4 linked regions of the Macaca fascicularis genome follow. The protein of the gene in region 1 purifies or fractionates together with the protein of each later gene. This does not show direct contact. Links are inferred from orthologs where the notes say so. Each region holds a gene or a part of one and is shown in the gene's direction. Other genes may lie near its edges. The genes, in order: COPG1, COPA, ARCN1 and NUDCD1.

The links.
Region 2: the proteins of COPG1 (region 1) and COPA purify together in Homo sapiens (affinity purification with mass spectrometry; 6 studies listed by BioGRID and IntAct, counting the BioPlex papers as one, with this or other methods). This does not show direct contact. The link is inferred for Macaca fascicularis from reciprocal best matches to the Homo sapiens genes COPG1 and COPA.
Region 3: the proteins of COPG1 (region 1) and ARCN1 purify together in Homo sapiens (affinity purification with mass spectrometry; 6 studies listed by BioGRID and IntAct, counting the BioPlex papers as one, with this or other methods). This does not show direct contact. The link is inferred for Macaca fascicularis from reciprocal best matches to the Homo sapiens genes COPG1 and ARCN1.
Region 4: the proteins of COPG1 (region 1) and NUDCD1 purify together in Homo sapiens (affinity purification with mass spectrometry; 3 studies listed by BioGRID and IntAct, counting the BioPlex papers as one, with this or other methods). This does not show direct contact. The link is inferred for Macaca fascicularis from reciprocal best matches to the Homo sapiens genes COPG1 and NUDCD1.

Annotation. Positions count from the first base shown.
Region 1 is NC_088376.1:154,151,372-154,154,939, reverse strand, and holds part of COPG1 (coatomer subunit gamma-1), read left to right. Parts: intron 1-821; coding exon 822-964; intron 965-1,298; coding exon 1,299-1,470; intron 1,471-1,857; coding exon 1,858-1,955; intron 1,956-3,568. UniProt on the Homo sapiens protein: The coatomer is a cytosolic protein complex that binds to dilysine motifs and reversibly associates with Golgi non-clathrin-coated vesicles, which further mediate biosynthetic protein transport from the ER, via the Golgi up to the trans Golgi network.
Region 2 is NC_088375.1:100,716,120-100,720,204, forward strand, and holds the start of COPA (coatomer subunit alpha), read left to right. Parts: upstream 1-1,263; 5' UTR 1,264-1,348; coding exon 1,349-1,388; intron 1,389-4,085. Other genes in the region: NCSTN (nicastrin), read right to left, coding at 1,038-1,122. UniProt on the Homo sapiens protein: The coatomer is a cytosolic protein complex that binds to dilysine motifs and reversibly associates with Golgi non-clathrin-coated vesicles, which further mediate biosynthetic protein transport from the ER, via the Golgi up to the trans Golgi network.
Region 3 is NC_088388.1:117,439,534-117,443,581, forward strand, and holds the start of ARCN1 (coatomer subunit delta), read left to right. Parts: upstream 1-1,238; 5' UTR 1,239-1,396; coding exon 1,397-1,399; intron 1,400-4,048. UniProt on the Homo sapiens protein: Component of the coatomer, a cytosolic protein complex that binds to dilysine motifs and reversibly associates with Golgi non-clathrin-coated vesicles, which further mediate biosynthetic protein transport from the ER, via the Golgi up to the trans Golgi network.
Region 4 is NC_088382.1:118,796,222-118,798,948, reverse strand, and holds part of NUDCD1 (nudC domain-containing protein 1), read left to right. Parts: coding exon 1-127; intron 128-2,503; coding exon 2,504-2,727.

The DNA of each region.
Region 1 (3,568 bases):
ATCTGAGTTTTTAGCAAGCTCTACCGCCAACCCCTAGTAATTCTGATACAGGTGATCCATGGTCATAGTGCGAGGAATCCTGCCATAGAATAGGTGCAAGAGTGGTAGCTGTAGCCATTATAGGTGGACACCATGTGCACACATCTACCAGATGCCTCATTCACTTGGGTTATTCCCTTTAGTCTGCAAGGAATGCCAGGACCAGCCAGGGTGGGGTCCCATGGGCCTGTGCTTAAATCCAGTGCTTGAACCTGGCCATAGGGTGTAGGCATAGGTCTTAACCAGACACAGACCATTCTAAGTTGGGTTTTCTGCAACGCTCTCATTCCGAAACATCTCTTTATTGGCCATTTGTCTTAACTGACAAATATATAGGACCAGTTTGTTACTTTGTCTGATTTTGTAGCTATAGTAGTATCGATCTTATTTTCCTAATTGATCTTATTTTCCTAATTGTCACCTTCTTTTAAGAATCCTTGCTGAGCTAGGGGGTGGAAATCCTTGCTAAGCTTCTAAAACCGGGGGAATCTCCAATTAGGTCTAGGATTTTGTGGTCTCATATCAGTGTTTTGCTTCTGAGGTCTTTCATGGTACAGAGATGGGGAGAGTATTTGTTGGGGGTTGTATCACATGAGCAAAGTCAGGGAGATGAGAAAATGCATGGATATATTCAGGAAATAATGAGTAGCCAGGTGGGTAAACATATTTATCCATCTAAGGTAGGTGGAACACCTTGCGAATGGTCATGGGAATTTATTAGAAACCATCACAAGTTGGTCTGGGGATTTAGAAGCTGAGTGAATGTGGCCTGTGGATTTCAGAGCAGTTGGCGGCGGTGCCAGAGTTCCGGGGACTTGGGCCCCTCTTCAAGTCCTCGCCTGAGCCCGTGGCCCTCACTGAGTCAGAGACGGAGTATGTCATCCGCTGCACCAAACACACCTTCACCAACCACATGGTTTTTCAGGTGAGCAAGGTGGGCTGAGGCCCTGCTGGGGCATGCGCCCAGGGAGTTGTCCCAGGTCTGGCAGGTCCTGTAGGGACATGGGTCCCCACACTGTGTTGGTTGGGAGCCCAACTTGATGACAGAATCTGTCCCCAACATGCCTGTCTCACATATCTGTTGACCCAGGGCCTCCATGGCTCCTGATTATCAGCATGGAGACAGGGAGCCTGGGGCAGGGGGACTGGGATGGGAATCACCTTGGTCAACAGGAAAGAGGTGGGACCTCCTGGCTCTTCCTCTGCAGCATGGCTCAGACCTAGAGCAATGTTTAAGCTCCCCTCTCTTCCCTGTTCAGTTTGACTGCACAAACACACTCAATGACCAGACCTTGGAGAATGTCACAGTGCAGATGGAGCCCACTGAGGCCTATGAGGTGCTCTGTTATGTGCCTGCCCGGAGCCTGCCCTACAACCAGCCTGGGACCTGCTACACACTGGTGGCACTGCCCAAAGAAGACCCCACAGCTGGTGAGACCCTCTCCAGATACCACCCTATCCTTATGGGAGCTCATGGGATCAGGAGGTGGGCGACTGGGCACTAGTTGTTTGCCTTTTATTAGAGCTTCAGCTCCTTGATTTCAGTCCCAAGAAGAATAGCTGAGTCCCAAATGCTCTTCTTTAAAAAATTTTTTTAAAGAGACAGGATCTCACTAGAACTCATGACTTGACTTTCCTGTCCTACAAGGTGGCGCCCTCTGTCCAGCTTTGTAGGATTGTATGGCTTGTTGCTGCTACTAATAACATAGCAGGGGCCTAGAAAGCAGGCTGTGACCCCTGCCTGCTTGTTCCCTGCAGGAGGAGCCCGTCCCCTGCAGTCTGGGGACTTCCTAACTACCCAGTCTCTCTTCCCCACAGTGGCCTGCACATTCAGCTGCATGATGAAGTTCACTGTCAAGGACTGTGATCCCACCACTGGGGAGACCGATGACGAAGGCTATGAGGATGAGTATGTGGTAAGAGCCTGGTGTCAGGAAGCTCAGTTTTGTGCTGAGGCTGCAAAGCAACTCCCTTCAGAAACTGACAGACAGACTGGAGCTGTTTTTGACTTTTTAGCTCTTTAAAATTTTATTTTATTATTTTATTTTTTGAGATGAAGTTTCTCTCTTGTTACCCAGGCTGGAGTGCAATGGCACGATCTCGGCTCACTGCAACCTCTGCCTCCCAAGTCCAAGTGATTCTTTTTTTTTTTTTTTTTTTTTTTTTTGAGACGGAGTCTCGCTCTGTCGCCCAGGCTGGAGTGCAGTGGCCTGATCTCAGCTCACTGCAAGCTCCGCCTCCCGGGTTCACGCCATTCTCCTGCCTCAGCCTCCCGAGTAGCTGGGACCACAGGCGCCCGCCAGCTCGCCCGGCTAGTTTTTTGTATTTTTTAGTAGTGACGGGGTTTCACTGTGTTAGCCAGGATGGTCTCGATCTCCTGACCTTGTGATCCACCCGTCTCGGCCTCCCAAAGTGCTGGGATTACAGGCTTGAGCCACCGCGCCCGGCCCCAAGTGATTCTTTTGCCTCAGCCTCCCGAGTAGCTGGTATTACAGGCGCCCGCCACCATGCCTGCCTAATTTTTTGTATTTTTAGTAGAGACAGGGTTTCACCATGTTGGCTAGGCTGGTTTCGAACTCCTCGCCTCAGGTGATACACCTACCTTGGCCTCCCAAAGTGTTGGGATTACAGGCGTGAGCCACTGCGCCTGGCCTAAAATAACTTTTTAAACTTATGGAAATACATGTTCATGTGTAAAAAGAAAACTTGGGAAATACAAAAACAAAATACAAAACAAAAGTATGAACAACAGGAAAACATTACTCATAATCTTCAGAGTTACTTTTGGGGGGCAGTGGTATAATTGGAATCATTCTTATAATGTAGACCTTGCTATTTTAAAACCATAGTGTATTTTCCAGTGTCATTACAAATACTTCATAAACACAATTTTTTTAGTGGATTTAAAATACTGTTATATACTATGTCAAAACTTGATTGACCTTTCACTCCTTGAATGTTGGGCATTTGGGTTTCCATATTTTCACTATTTATAATGCTGCACTAAATATCCCTTTAGATACAAATTTTTATCTGCATTTTAGATTATTTCTTTAGGATAGATTCCTAGAAGGAGAATAATTGGGTCAAAGGGTAAGCATGATTTTAAGACATTTTGATTCCTTTTGTCAAATGCTTTCTGGATACATTTGACCTGTTTGCCGTGCTGGGCAGTCCTTTCATGCACTGGAATAGCCCTTCTAAATTCTCCTATCTTAGCTCGATGGAACTAAGTACAGGATCCTTCTGGGGTCTGACCTTGGGGCAGTGGCTCAGGGCCTTCTGAGTGCAGACCACTACGCTCAGCCTGTGGATGGGGATTGTTAGAACTCCTCCTGACTAGAGGGACAGTCATGGTGGAATACAGCTGACATTCACCATTGTGTCATCCTAGAGTCACAGTTGAGGATGGATGGACCTTCCTTAAGCTGGAAATGACCCTGAGGCAGGAGCTGCTTTAAGACCAAGTGAGCTCCTTGAGAGAGCTGGGTCTGTTTGAGCCCACCCAGAGATGATAGAAAAAAAAAAA
Region 2 (4,085 bases), on another chromosome or scaffold:
GGGTTATTAAAAAGTCCATGTAGCGCCATTGACAGTGACACTAAAAGAGAGAAAACTTGGTCAAAGGAAAGGTGTTTGACCTTAGATTTGCCAAATTCTGGTTGCACAGGTGATCACACTTCTGCTTGTATATCCTGTATGTATATTACTAACCAGTTAATACAAAGGTGCTGGGCTAAGAAAACTTTCTGAGACATTTTTCCAAGAGTGTGAATAGAATTGAGAGAAACCTTATGACATACACTGGTCAGTTAATTTAACATCAGTAGGTCATTTGTGTGCCCACAGTGTGGGGCAGCTGTAGTTTCTCCTTTGAGGATCTTTAAAAACAATGTGAACTAGGGGAAGGCACAGTCATAGTTATATACAGACATTTGCATTTTAGGGCGTGACCAACTAAAAAGCCATGTATCAGTAAATAAACGCGTATAAGCAAACAGTCAAGTATATTATAAATGCCAAAAGTTCCTTGAATCGTTACTTCACGGTTTGGACAGTTAAGAGTACCCATATCCTACCTTATTCTTGCTTTACTGATTAAAAAAACAAAAACAAAAACAAAACCTGAGGCAAGGCAGAGGGACACAGACTTTGGGTGTAACCAATAGAGGAAGAAATAAGAAATCTACCTTTTAAGCGCCGCACAGCACCCACAGAACAAGATTGCTTTCGTCTCAAAAAGTCTAAACGCGGGGAAGAAAGCTAACTTTCACACCTGTTTCTTTCGACTGTGGGGTGGGTGGCTGGGGTTGTGGGAAAAACGAGGCATCTGGACAAAGTGGGAGAGGGTCGAGTTCGAAGTCCAGGAAGAGGCCTAGAGAAGGGAGTGAAGCGACACGACATGCTGCGGGGGAGAAGGGACCTTTAGGTCCAGGCAAAGGGGGAACTTCTGTCGTGGGAACGAAAGAGAAAGAGGATTTACAGGGTGGGGGGACAGAGGGGCAGCAGGAACCAGAAGGGAGACAGTGGCGCTCGCGGCTGGGCCGATCCGGAGAGTTCCCTTTAGAGAACGGAGCTCACGGGTGGGGAGGCCTCACCTGCTAGTAGGACGCAGAAAGACAGAAGACGAAGGAGACCCCGACTTCCCGGGTCAGCCCCAGAGCCACCCCCTGCCGTGGCCATCTTGCCTCTCTGCTGAGCGGAAGTCCCCGTTCGGCTCCTGCCGGGTAGCGGCCTCTCTAGGCTACCACTGACACCATCTCTGTGGCCCGGAGCCCAACAGACCGGAAGTTCGTGTTTCCAGGAGCTTCCGGAAACCGCGGCAGAGGGTAGCTGACGTGGAGGCGTCCGAAGGGCAGCAGGGTGTGTCGGGGCTCGGATTAAAACATCGGAGTCGGAGACCTGAGAGATGCTAACCAAATTCGAGACCAAGAGCGCGCGGGTCAAAGGTAGTGGAGAAAAAAAAGGGGAACATGGAGGTTGGATGTCAAGAGCGGCGCAGACACCGGGGAAGAGAAAATGGGTAGACGTGCTGGCCGAAGTGGGCCCACTAGACGGACCCAGAGGAAGACGGAGGGTGGGAGAGAGGTTAGGCCTGGCTAGCGGTTCTCCAGTCCCCTCTTTGGTGTGTCCTTGGGCTTCGATTTACCTATAAAGTGGCTCCCACACTGTAGGTGATTCCTTAGACCACCTCCCTATTCTTTCTTCTCCCTTTCTCTCTTTGCTGTGCTCCCAACTTGTATTGTTCTGCTCCAAAGGCCCTGTGACCTGTTGACTTTTTGATTGTGTTATATGGAGTGGCCCTGGGGCTTGAGTCTCGATCTCTGTTACTTGCACCCGAGTCAGTAGCTTTTTTGGAGACGTGTAGTGGCTACCTCACTTAAGGAGGCCTTGGCTGCAGCATCTCAACATCAGTACCTTCATTCGGCTTTATTCACTACCCGGAAGTAGTACTTTGAGGCTTATAACCCCAATAAAGTCTCAACTTGATAGGGTTGCCAGATAAAATGCAGGACACCCAGTTAAATTTGAATTTCAGGTAAACAATGAATAGTTTTTTTAGTCTGTCCTTGCTTACCAGAAGTTCAAATATATCTGGGCATCTCGTATTTTTATTTGCTAAGTATGGCGACTCTAGAGCTCGAGTGTGGGTCGTTGGGGGTGGTGGGCAAATACTGAGATCTCAGTATTAGCCTCAGAATGTTAAAATGTGAAAGGCAGAGAGAAGTAAGGTCTCCAGAGACCTGGAAAAAATAGTATCTAGAGTATGTAGTAAGATGCAGCGTAACAAAATGGTTAGTCTTTGAAAGTGGTTGGTCTTTGAAGTCAGATGGGCTTGCTTTGGAATCCTGAGACATCCACTAACAAGCTGTATGACTTGGGTGACTTAAGGTCTCTAAGTGCTATTTCCTCATCTGTAAAATAGTCTTTTATAGAAAGAATTAAAATGAGAAAGTATGGAATGTATTTATTGCAGCACCTGGTGTAGACTCAGTAGTGCAAAAAGTGGAGGCTGCTCTCAATGTGTGAATATATTCTGAGCAGTTTCTAAGTCTCTTGGGAAACTTGACCTTGAAAGGTGGGTACCATTAAGAATTTCTGAGACCTGTGTAGGTGAAATGGGTCTTCATAATCTTTCAGTTTTCTTTTCTGCTCCTAATTTCTTGCTGGGCAGTAGAGAAGGAAAAACAAAGATGTTGTAATAATTGAGGGCGAACATCCATTGTTGAGTGTACTTATATATCATAATGGAAAAAAAAAAAGAGAACCTAATGGAAAAATAGACAATTTAGAAGAAAAATTGTAAATGTTCAATAAATAATTAAAACAGTTCCACCTCACTAGTAATGAAAGAAATGCAAAAAAAAAAAAAAAAAAAAAAGTGAAGTTACTTTCTTGGGGGGAGGGTCTTAGATTTATAAAACAAAACAACAAATAGCTGATAACATCCTGTGTGCAAAATGGGCACCTCCATAAACTTCATGAGACTGTATATTGATAAAGTGTTTTTACATTTAAATATATGTACTAAAATGTTAAGTGCACATATTCTATTCCTGAGCAATCTCACTTACAGGTCTTTAGCCTAGAGCAGTAATAATGCAAATAGGCTAGATTATGTGTAGAAGTATCTTCAGTAGGCTCTTCTGATAGCCAAAAATTGGGGGACAAAGGTAAATGCCTGTTAGAATAATGTAAAAGTTTGCAGAACAACATCATAATGTGATCCCCACTTTCATAAAATAGTAAGGCCTATGTCTATGTGTAACTGCATTACAAATCTGAAAGGGTACACTCCAAACTGTTAGTAGTTGTTACCTCTGGGGACTTCCATTTCCAGTCTTGATAGAATAACAAACAAAATGTATGAAACAAAGGTTCATACATTGCTCACAGACGTTGGGTGACACGCAGTGCAGGGAAATGATTCTTGAGAGAAGGGAAATAAACAAGGTGAGTCCTATGATTGTCATAGATTACTGCCTAGAGAGTTTTCAGGCTTCAGTGAAAAGGGGAATCCCTTGTTCTTTCTGAGGAGACAAAAGTTTAGAGTGTGGGGAAGCAAAGATGCTAGATTTTGCAGGGCAAAATGCTGGAGAAGAGGGGGCTGCAGAGAGAGAGCACTAGAGGTCTGCAGGATGTCCTCTCGGGTCTTTGAGTACTGATCTGCATGTGAGAAAACTATTCAAAACCTGACAAAGAACCACTGGAAAGGAGAAGGCAGAGCAATCCCCAGAGCTCACACAGGGCTGGGACTAGTTTGTGTTCCTACTGGCCAGAATGGAAAGACTTCCTGATATTATAGAGCTTCAAATAGAGACCTCAGATGGGCTATTGCTTTAATAATGGTTCCAGATTAAGCCTAGAATGAAGGCTGCTGTAGCCCCCCTGTAATAGAACCTAAAAGCAAGCCTTGAAAGGATCAACTGATTCCAAGTAACTTAATTGCATCCTAGAGCAAAGCCCAACAATATTTAAAGGAATATAACAAACATCTAGTACCAAACATAAAATTCATGATGTCTGGCATCCAGTAAAAAATCATCAAGTGCGTCGAATGAATAAATGAGCCTAGGATTAACCTTGCTGTTTCTTTTTCTTATCAGAATTGACAGAAGGTGACATCATGGGGCTTAGTTAGCTCA
Region 3 (4,048 bases), on another chromosome or scaffold:
TGGGTTTTCTTCTGTTCTGGATCTTCCATATTAATTGAATCATATATGAGTGCCCCATTGTATCTGTCTTTTTTCACATAATATTTTCAAGGTTCATCCATATTGTAGCATGTCAGTACCTTATTCTATTTTGTGATTAAATAATATTCCATTCCATATATATGCCACATCTATTGATGAATGGATTTGTTTGGATTGTCTCCACTTTCTGGCTGCTATGAATAAAGTTGCTATGAACATTAGGGTACACATTTTTGTGTTGACATATATTCAGTTCTCCTGGGTATGTACCTATGAGTAGAATTGCTCAGTCATATGGCAATTTTGTTTAACTTTTTGAGGAACTGCCAAACTCTTTTCCAACGTGGCTGCACTATTTCACATTCATCCTCACCAACAATTATTATGATAGCCATCCTAGTGGGTGTGAAGTGGTATCTCACCATGGGTCTGATTTCCATTTCCCTAAGGATATTCAACATTTCTTAATGTGCATATTAGCCATTTACATATCTTCTTTGGACACATATCTATTCAGATCTTTTGCTCATTTTAATTTTTTGTTTTCTACTCTCTCCATTTTGCAGATGAAGCCCATTTTTAGACAGGAATACTGTATTTGTCTTCTTATTGCTGAGTTATAAGAGTTCTTAGGCTGGGCGCGGGGGCTCACGCCTGTAATCCCAGCACTTTGGGAGGCTGAGGCGGGTGGATCACTTGGGGTCAGGAGCTCGAGACCAGCCTGGCCGACATGGCAAAACCCCTTCTCCACTAAAACTACAAAAAACAGCCGAACGTAGTGGCCCGTGCCTGTAATTCCAGCTACTCGGGAGGCTGAGGCAGAAGAACCCCTTGAACGTGGGAAGCGGAGGTTGCAGTGAGCCGACATCGCCCTATTGCGACAGAGTGGGCGACAGAGTGAGACTCCATCTCAAAAAAAAAAAAAAATTTTTTATTTATATATATTCCGGATACTAGTCCTTTATGCACACGGGTTATCTTGTATATTTATTAAATAATAGTGGCTGTGCCAGCGGCTTAATAAACTGTAAGATGTGACGCAAAATAAATGAAGGCGATGACAGTGAAAGGGCAGAGATATAAGGTTCCACAGTCGGGGGGTGAACGCTCCCTACACCTCCTGGGCACAGTCTTAACCCGAGCAGGGTACCCTCAATTTCCCCAGCCCGCAGGCCCCGCCCCGCCCCGCCCTTTGACCTCCGCCGCTTCCGGTTGAAGACGTGGCTCGGGGCCGCCATCTTGGCAAGAGGCGAAGCGGCAGCGGCTCCTGTCAAGCGGGCAGCAGATCCAGAGCGGCCCGTGCTCCCCTTCCCCAGACCCTCCCCCTATCCCCAGTGGAGCCGGAGAGCGGGCGCGCCCCACCACCGCCCTCACCATGGTAAGATCCGAGCCAGGACCCGAACTCCTGGGGTCCGAACCTCACAGTCTCTCCCTGTCGGCGGGCCTGGGGCCGGGGCCGGAGGAGCCCCGCCCTGAGGGTCTAGGGCCGGGTGCTTTGCTCGGGGCTCTGGGAGCAATGTGGCCTCCTGTGCCCGGTCTCCTGGAGATCCGACGGAGCTGACTTCAGTCCATCTGTCGTCGTGCCCGCTTCCCCACCACCCCCCAACCAGCTGGACTCCCTCGTCTGCTGGGACCTGCCCCTGAGACGGCCCTGCGTTTTTGCCTGCGAAAACTTCGTGGTGGTGGTGCGGGTCCCAGGCTGCGGACCTCGGAACTGATGCTGTCCTGCCGGTTCCCTGGCGCTTAGGCTCAGCAAGCTGGGCCTGTCTCCGGAGGTTCTGGTCCTTCTTGTTAACCAGCTTGTCTCCCACCCCCGGTATTTGCTAGGCCGTTGATAACTCGAAATGCAAATCCACTGGTGTCCAGAAATTTTTCTTTTGTTTGTTCAGAAGGGAGAAATGGAGACACAGAGCGGAAAGGAGTAACTTCTAACATTAATTTATAGGACCCAAGTGTCCCTGAAACCTTCCACTACTTCCGTAGAACTCACTTGTGTCCATTTGTTAGTGTGACTCAGGGTACATACACTGTGTAGACCACTGGGAAAATGTGAGCAAGTTCCAGAGAACACAGGGTTTGCCTTCAAGCAACTTATTGTTCAGATGAAGTAAAATGTGTATGTGGCATGTCGTAGTCAGATGTCTCACAGGAGGAGGAGTAAGAGGGGTGAGTTATCCTCTGAGACCAGTTACTTGCCTTCACATGCGTTATGTTTGTATACTCATCTGTTACAAGGATGAGAAAGGTTAATGTGGTTGAGGATGGAGGAAATTAGAACTGCTGACATCACTCAATCTTCCTTTATCGCTGTGATTTGTAGATATTCATAAAGTAGTAGACATTCTTTGGTTTCAAAAAAGCTAGTAGTTTATTTTTCAGTGCACCTTATGTCCTTTAATCTTTTGAAGGATATTCTATTCTGTTCTTTTTTATTTTTTTGTCAATAGATAACTTGATTTAAAACATCGTCCAGTGTACCTGAGAGATGACAGAATGTAATTTGGTGCCAATCCTAATCAGTTCTATTGACAACCCTGTAGATAAGAACTTGGATAATGGGGGGAACTCATGCTTGAGCTTTAAGCCACTGAACAGCTTTTCTCAGCCTCAGGTATATAAATTGCATCAAACAGGTTTGCCTCCTAAAATTTTTGTGTTGGACGTAAAATTTACAGAAACTTGTATTTTCAGTTTCTCCAGGAGGTCCTGTATTTGGTTAGTGATTTTGAAACTCAGTTCCTGTTTACACCCTGGAATTAATAGTGCATTTTAGAGCATATTTTTATTTTTATTTTTTTTTTATTTTTTATTTATTTATTTTTTTTTTGAGGCGGAGTCTCGCTCTGTCGCCCGGGCTGGAGTGCAGTGGCCGGATCTCAGCTCACTGCAAGCTCCGCCTCCCGGGTTTACGCCATTCTCCTGCCTCAGCCTACCAAGTAACTGGGACTACAGGCGCCCGCCATCTCGCCCGGCTAGTTTTTTGTATTTTTTAGTAGAGACGGGGTTTCACCGTGTTCGCCAGGATGGTCTCGATCTCCTGACCTCGTGATCCACCCGTCTCGGCCTCCCAAAGTGCTGGGATTACAGGCTTGAGCCACCGCGCCCGGCCGCATATTTTTATTTTAATGGTAAAGTTAAGGTCTTGTATTATGTAAACCAGATATAGATAATCTTTATAAAAATCTTATTTGTTAAAAGGTTATTGGAATTTAGTATTTTTAATTCATTGATAACTGAGGGATGGTAAAGCCCTACATGATATATATAAAATATAACTTTTGCATGCTATTTTGACATGTGTACGTATACATAGAGTTGTGTCACATATTTCTGAATTATTTGGGACTTAGCATGATCCAGATACCCACAGATTTGTGTACTCTGGAGAATAATTTATCTCAGTACATTCTGCTCTGTAGAGTCTTAAGACATTGGTGTTATTTCTGTGTAATGTTTTTGGGTCCTGCTCCTTTACAAACATATCCCTGGACAGTAGAAATGTCCAGATAGGGTGAAATATTGATCTGAAAGTTGTATCAAAACTTCTAGCAATTTATTTTAGCTCAACATTTCATTATGAAATTTTCAAACATCTGGAAAAGTTGAAAGGACTTTGTAGTGAATACCCATGTAACCACCAGCTAGATTCTGTAACTAACATTTCACTATATTTCATCATGCATCTAACCATCCATCCATCCCTCTCTCCATTAAAAAAATATACATTTCAAAGTAAGTTGCAGATATCAGTACATAAACATTGATTTTTTAAAAATAAATTCCTTTTGGCTTTAGTTATTGAAGTGCACAATGTCCTAGACTGCAAAGTTCCAATAGATAAATAAGTGAACAAATGCAAAAACAAATGCCTTCTCATGACTTCATCATAAAGTAAAGTACAAAGAAAGGCATCTTTTGATTTACTTATATTTTTAAGAGACAGGGTCTCACTATGTTGCCCAGGCTGGAGGGCAGTGGCTATTCACAGGCACTATCACAGTGCACTGTGGCCTGAAACTCCTAGCCT
Region 4 (2,727 bases), on another chromosome or scaffold:
GTCATAGTGGATCCTAAAGAAATGCCCTGCTTCTGTTTACGCCATGATGTTGATGCCCTACTCTGGCAACCACACTCCAGCAAACAAGATGATATGTGGGAGCACATCGCAACTTTCAATGCTTTAGGTATAAAGCAAACTCTTTGACATTTTCCATGAAATCAGAACTATAGTCATCATTCATTTAAAGTTCATTCCTTTTTTTTTCTTTTTAATTTGAGCTGTCCTGATTACATTTAGATTGATTTGTGCTATGATTTGTTTTCTTGTACTAGCGGATGAGTGTTAGCACTGTTGGAACATTTAGACTAATCTGTTTTTATGCTTATACAGAAGATCAAGACAATAGAAATGAAAGTGGTTATCTAACCATTTGAATTATTCTAATAAGTCATTTGCTTTTTCTAATTCTGTAAACCATATAATACTGGAGTCTGAACAAGGAGCTTGATAATACCCTACATGGAACTTGTATTCAAGTTTCTTCAGAGTAATCTTCAAAAACATCATAGAATTCCCCTAAGGTATAATGCACATTAGGAGACATCTTTTGTCAAAATTAAGACAAAAGAGAGCCATTATAATGAAAACACTTATGGAAAGCGGTGATAAGCAGAAATTAAATTTATTTGGTAGGATAAAAGGAAAAAAATCAGCTTTAAAATTAGGGCTTGAAAATGTTTAAACTACTTAATTGTAGATGTATGCAATCATTGATTTTTTTGTCAAAATGCATTAGTATTGTGTGACAGAAATTTTTTATGTGAATTAGCCACAGTTATTGCTTTATTGAAAGGTTATTTTAAACTGGCAGCAAGAAGTGAAAGTATGTATTTTGATGGCTATATATGCACAACCCTAATAGTAGAAGAAATTTATTAATTATCCCTTGTAGTTAATAATACAGGCTGCTAAACTGGTTCAGACACCAAATGGATTTTTATGACCTGAAGTACAAAGTTTGGTTGACTAATTTAACCATATAATTTTTAGCCTCCCTACTATAATGCTATTTTTTAATTATCTATACTTTAGTCAGAAGAAAGCTCTATCATATTATCTTTAGATGCTCAGATCTTCTATTTGTATCCCCAGATCCCCTATTATAGAGGAAGTCTATGCTTAATTCTAAGTTAAATCAACGTTACATTAGATATGTACTCATGAAATATATACATTATTCTGTCAAGGTTAGCCTGGATAGCAACTTTAAACTATTTAAATAGGTATCTAAATCTTCACTTTTCCCACTTCAAACCCTGCTTAATTAAAAACAATATTGATCTGCATGTGCTCAGTAACTCCTTTGCTTATTCATTGTTTGATGAGATCTCAATTTTAATTAGTGTTTTTTTTTTTTTGCTTATTCATTGTTTGATGAGATCTCAATTTTAATTAGTGTTTTTGTTTTTTTTTTTTTTTTTGAGACGGAGTCTTGCTCTGTCGCCCAGGCTGGAGTGCAGTGGCGCGATCTGCGCTCACTGCAAGCTTCGCCGCCGGGTTCACGCCATTCTCCTGCCTCATCCTCCCGAGTAGCTGGGACTAGAGGTGCGTGCCACCACGCCCGGCTAATTATTTTTTGTATTTTTAGTAGAGACAGGGTTTCACCATGTTAGCCAGGATGGTCTTGATCTCCTGACCTCATGATCCGCCCACCTCGGCCTCCCAAAGTGCTGGAATTACAGGCGTGAGCCACTGCGCCCGGTGTATATTTTTATTTTACATGATCTTAAATACCTAACATGTACTAACCATGTCACAATCTGAAAATCATAATTTATATTTCGGAACATAAATGTTGTTTTAATCCAAAAAGATACTTTTTAAATGTGTACATGAATTAAGATAAGATTAAGGATTTTTTCAGTTTAGAGACTTGAAATTATTTTTTAGGTTATAGTAGTCAACATTCTACTTCTGGGGGCTGAAAGTACAACAAAATCCGGTTACAGTGTTGGTATTGTTGTGTAAAAATATCACTAACATTTTAGGGATAATAAGAGAATGCATCACAAATACTAGTACATTCAGGGATACATTATGAACAGAAACCTAAAATAACTTTATGATGGTATCCTATACACATTTTCCAATTTATTTAAGAGGAAAAAAATGATTCTGTGATGCCATATCTGTAATTCATGAAGCTAAATATTAAATTGGCACTTAAAGATATTTGTCATGTAGTTAGTGTTTTAGATTTTAGAATTTTAGTGTTCGAATTATTCATGGAAATTAAATGAAACTATATTATGCTTTTCTTGAAGAGAGAAAGCCGTATCTGTTTTGTTCCTTAAGAATTAAAGTTGTATTTTTGTACCAGTTGGGAGAGACTGATTGTGGCTAATCATTAATGATTCAGAATTATATACCTTACGGTATATATTTTACTTGGGCATTTTAATTTGTAATAAACATTGCAAAATATTAAATGTTAAATCATGATTTTTCCCCTTCTGTTTAATATATAGTTTTTCTTTTGTTTGTCTCATATTCTTGGCAGGCTATGTCCAAGCATCAAAGAGAGACAAAAAATTTTTTGCCTGTGCTCCAAATTACTCCTATGCAGCCCTTTGTGAGTGCCTTCGTCGAGTATTCATCTATCGTCAGCCTGCTCCCATGTCCACTGTACTTTACAACAGAAAGGAAGGCAGGCAAGTAGGACAGGTTGCTAAGCAGCAAGTAGCAAGCCTGGAAACCAATGATCCTATTTTAGGATTTCAGGCA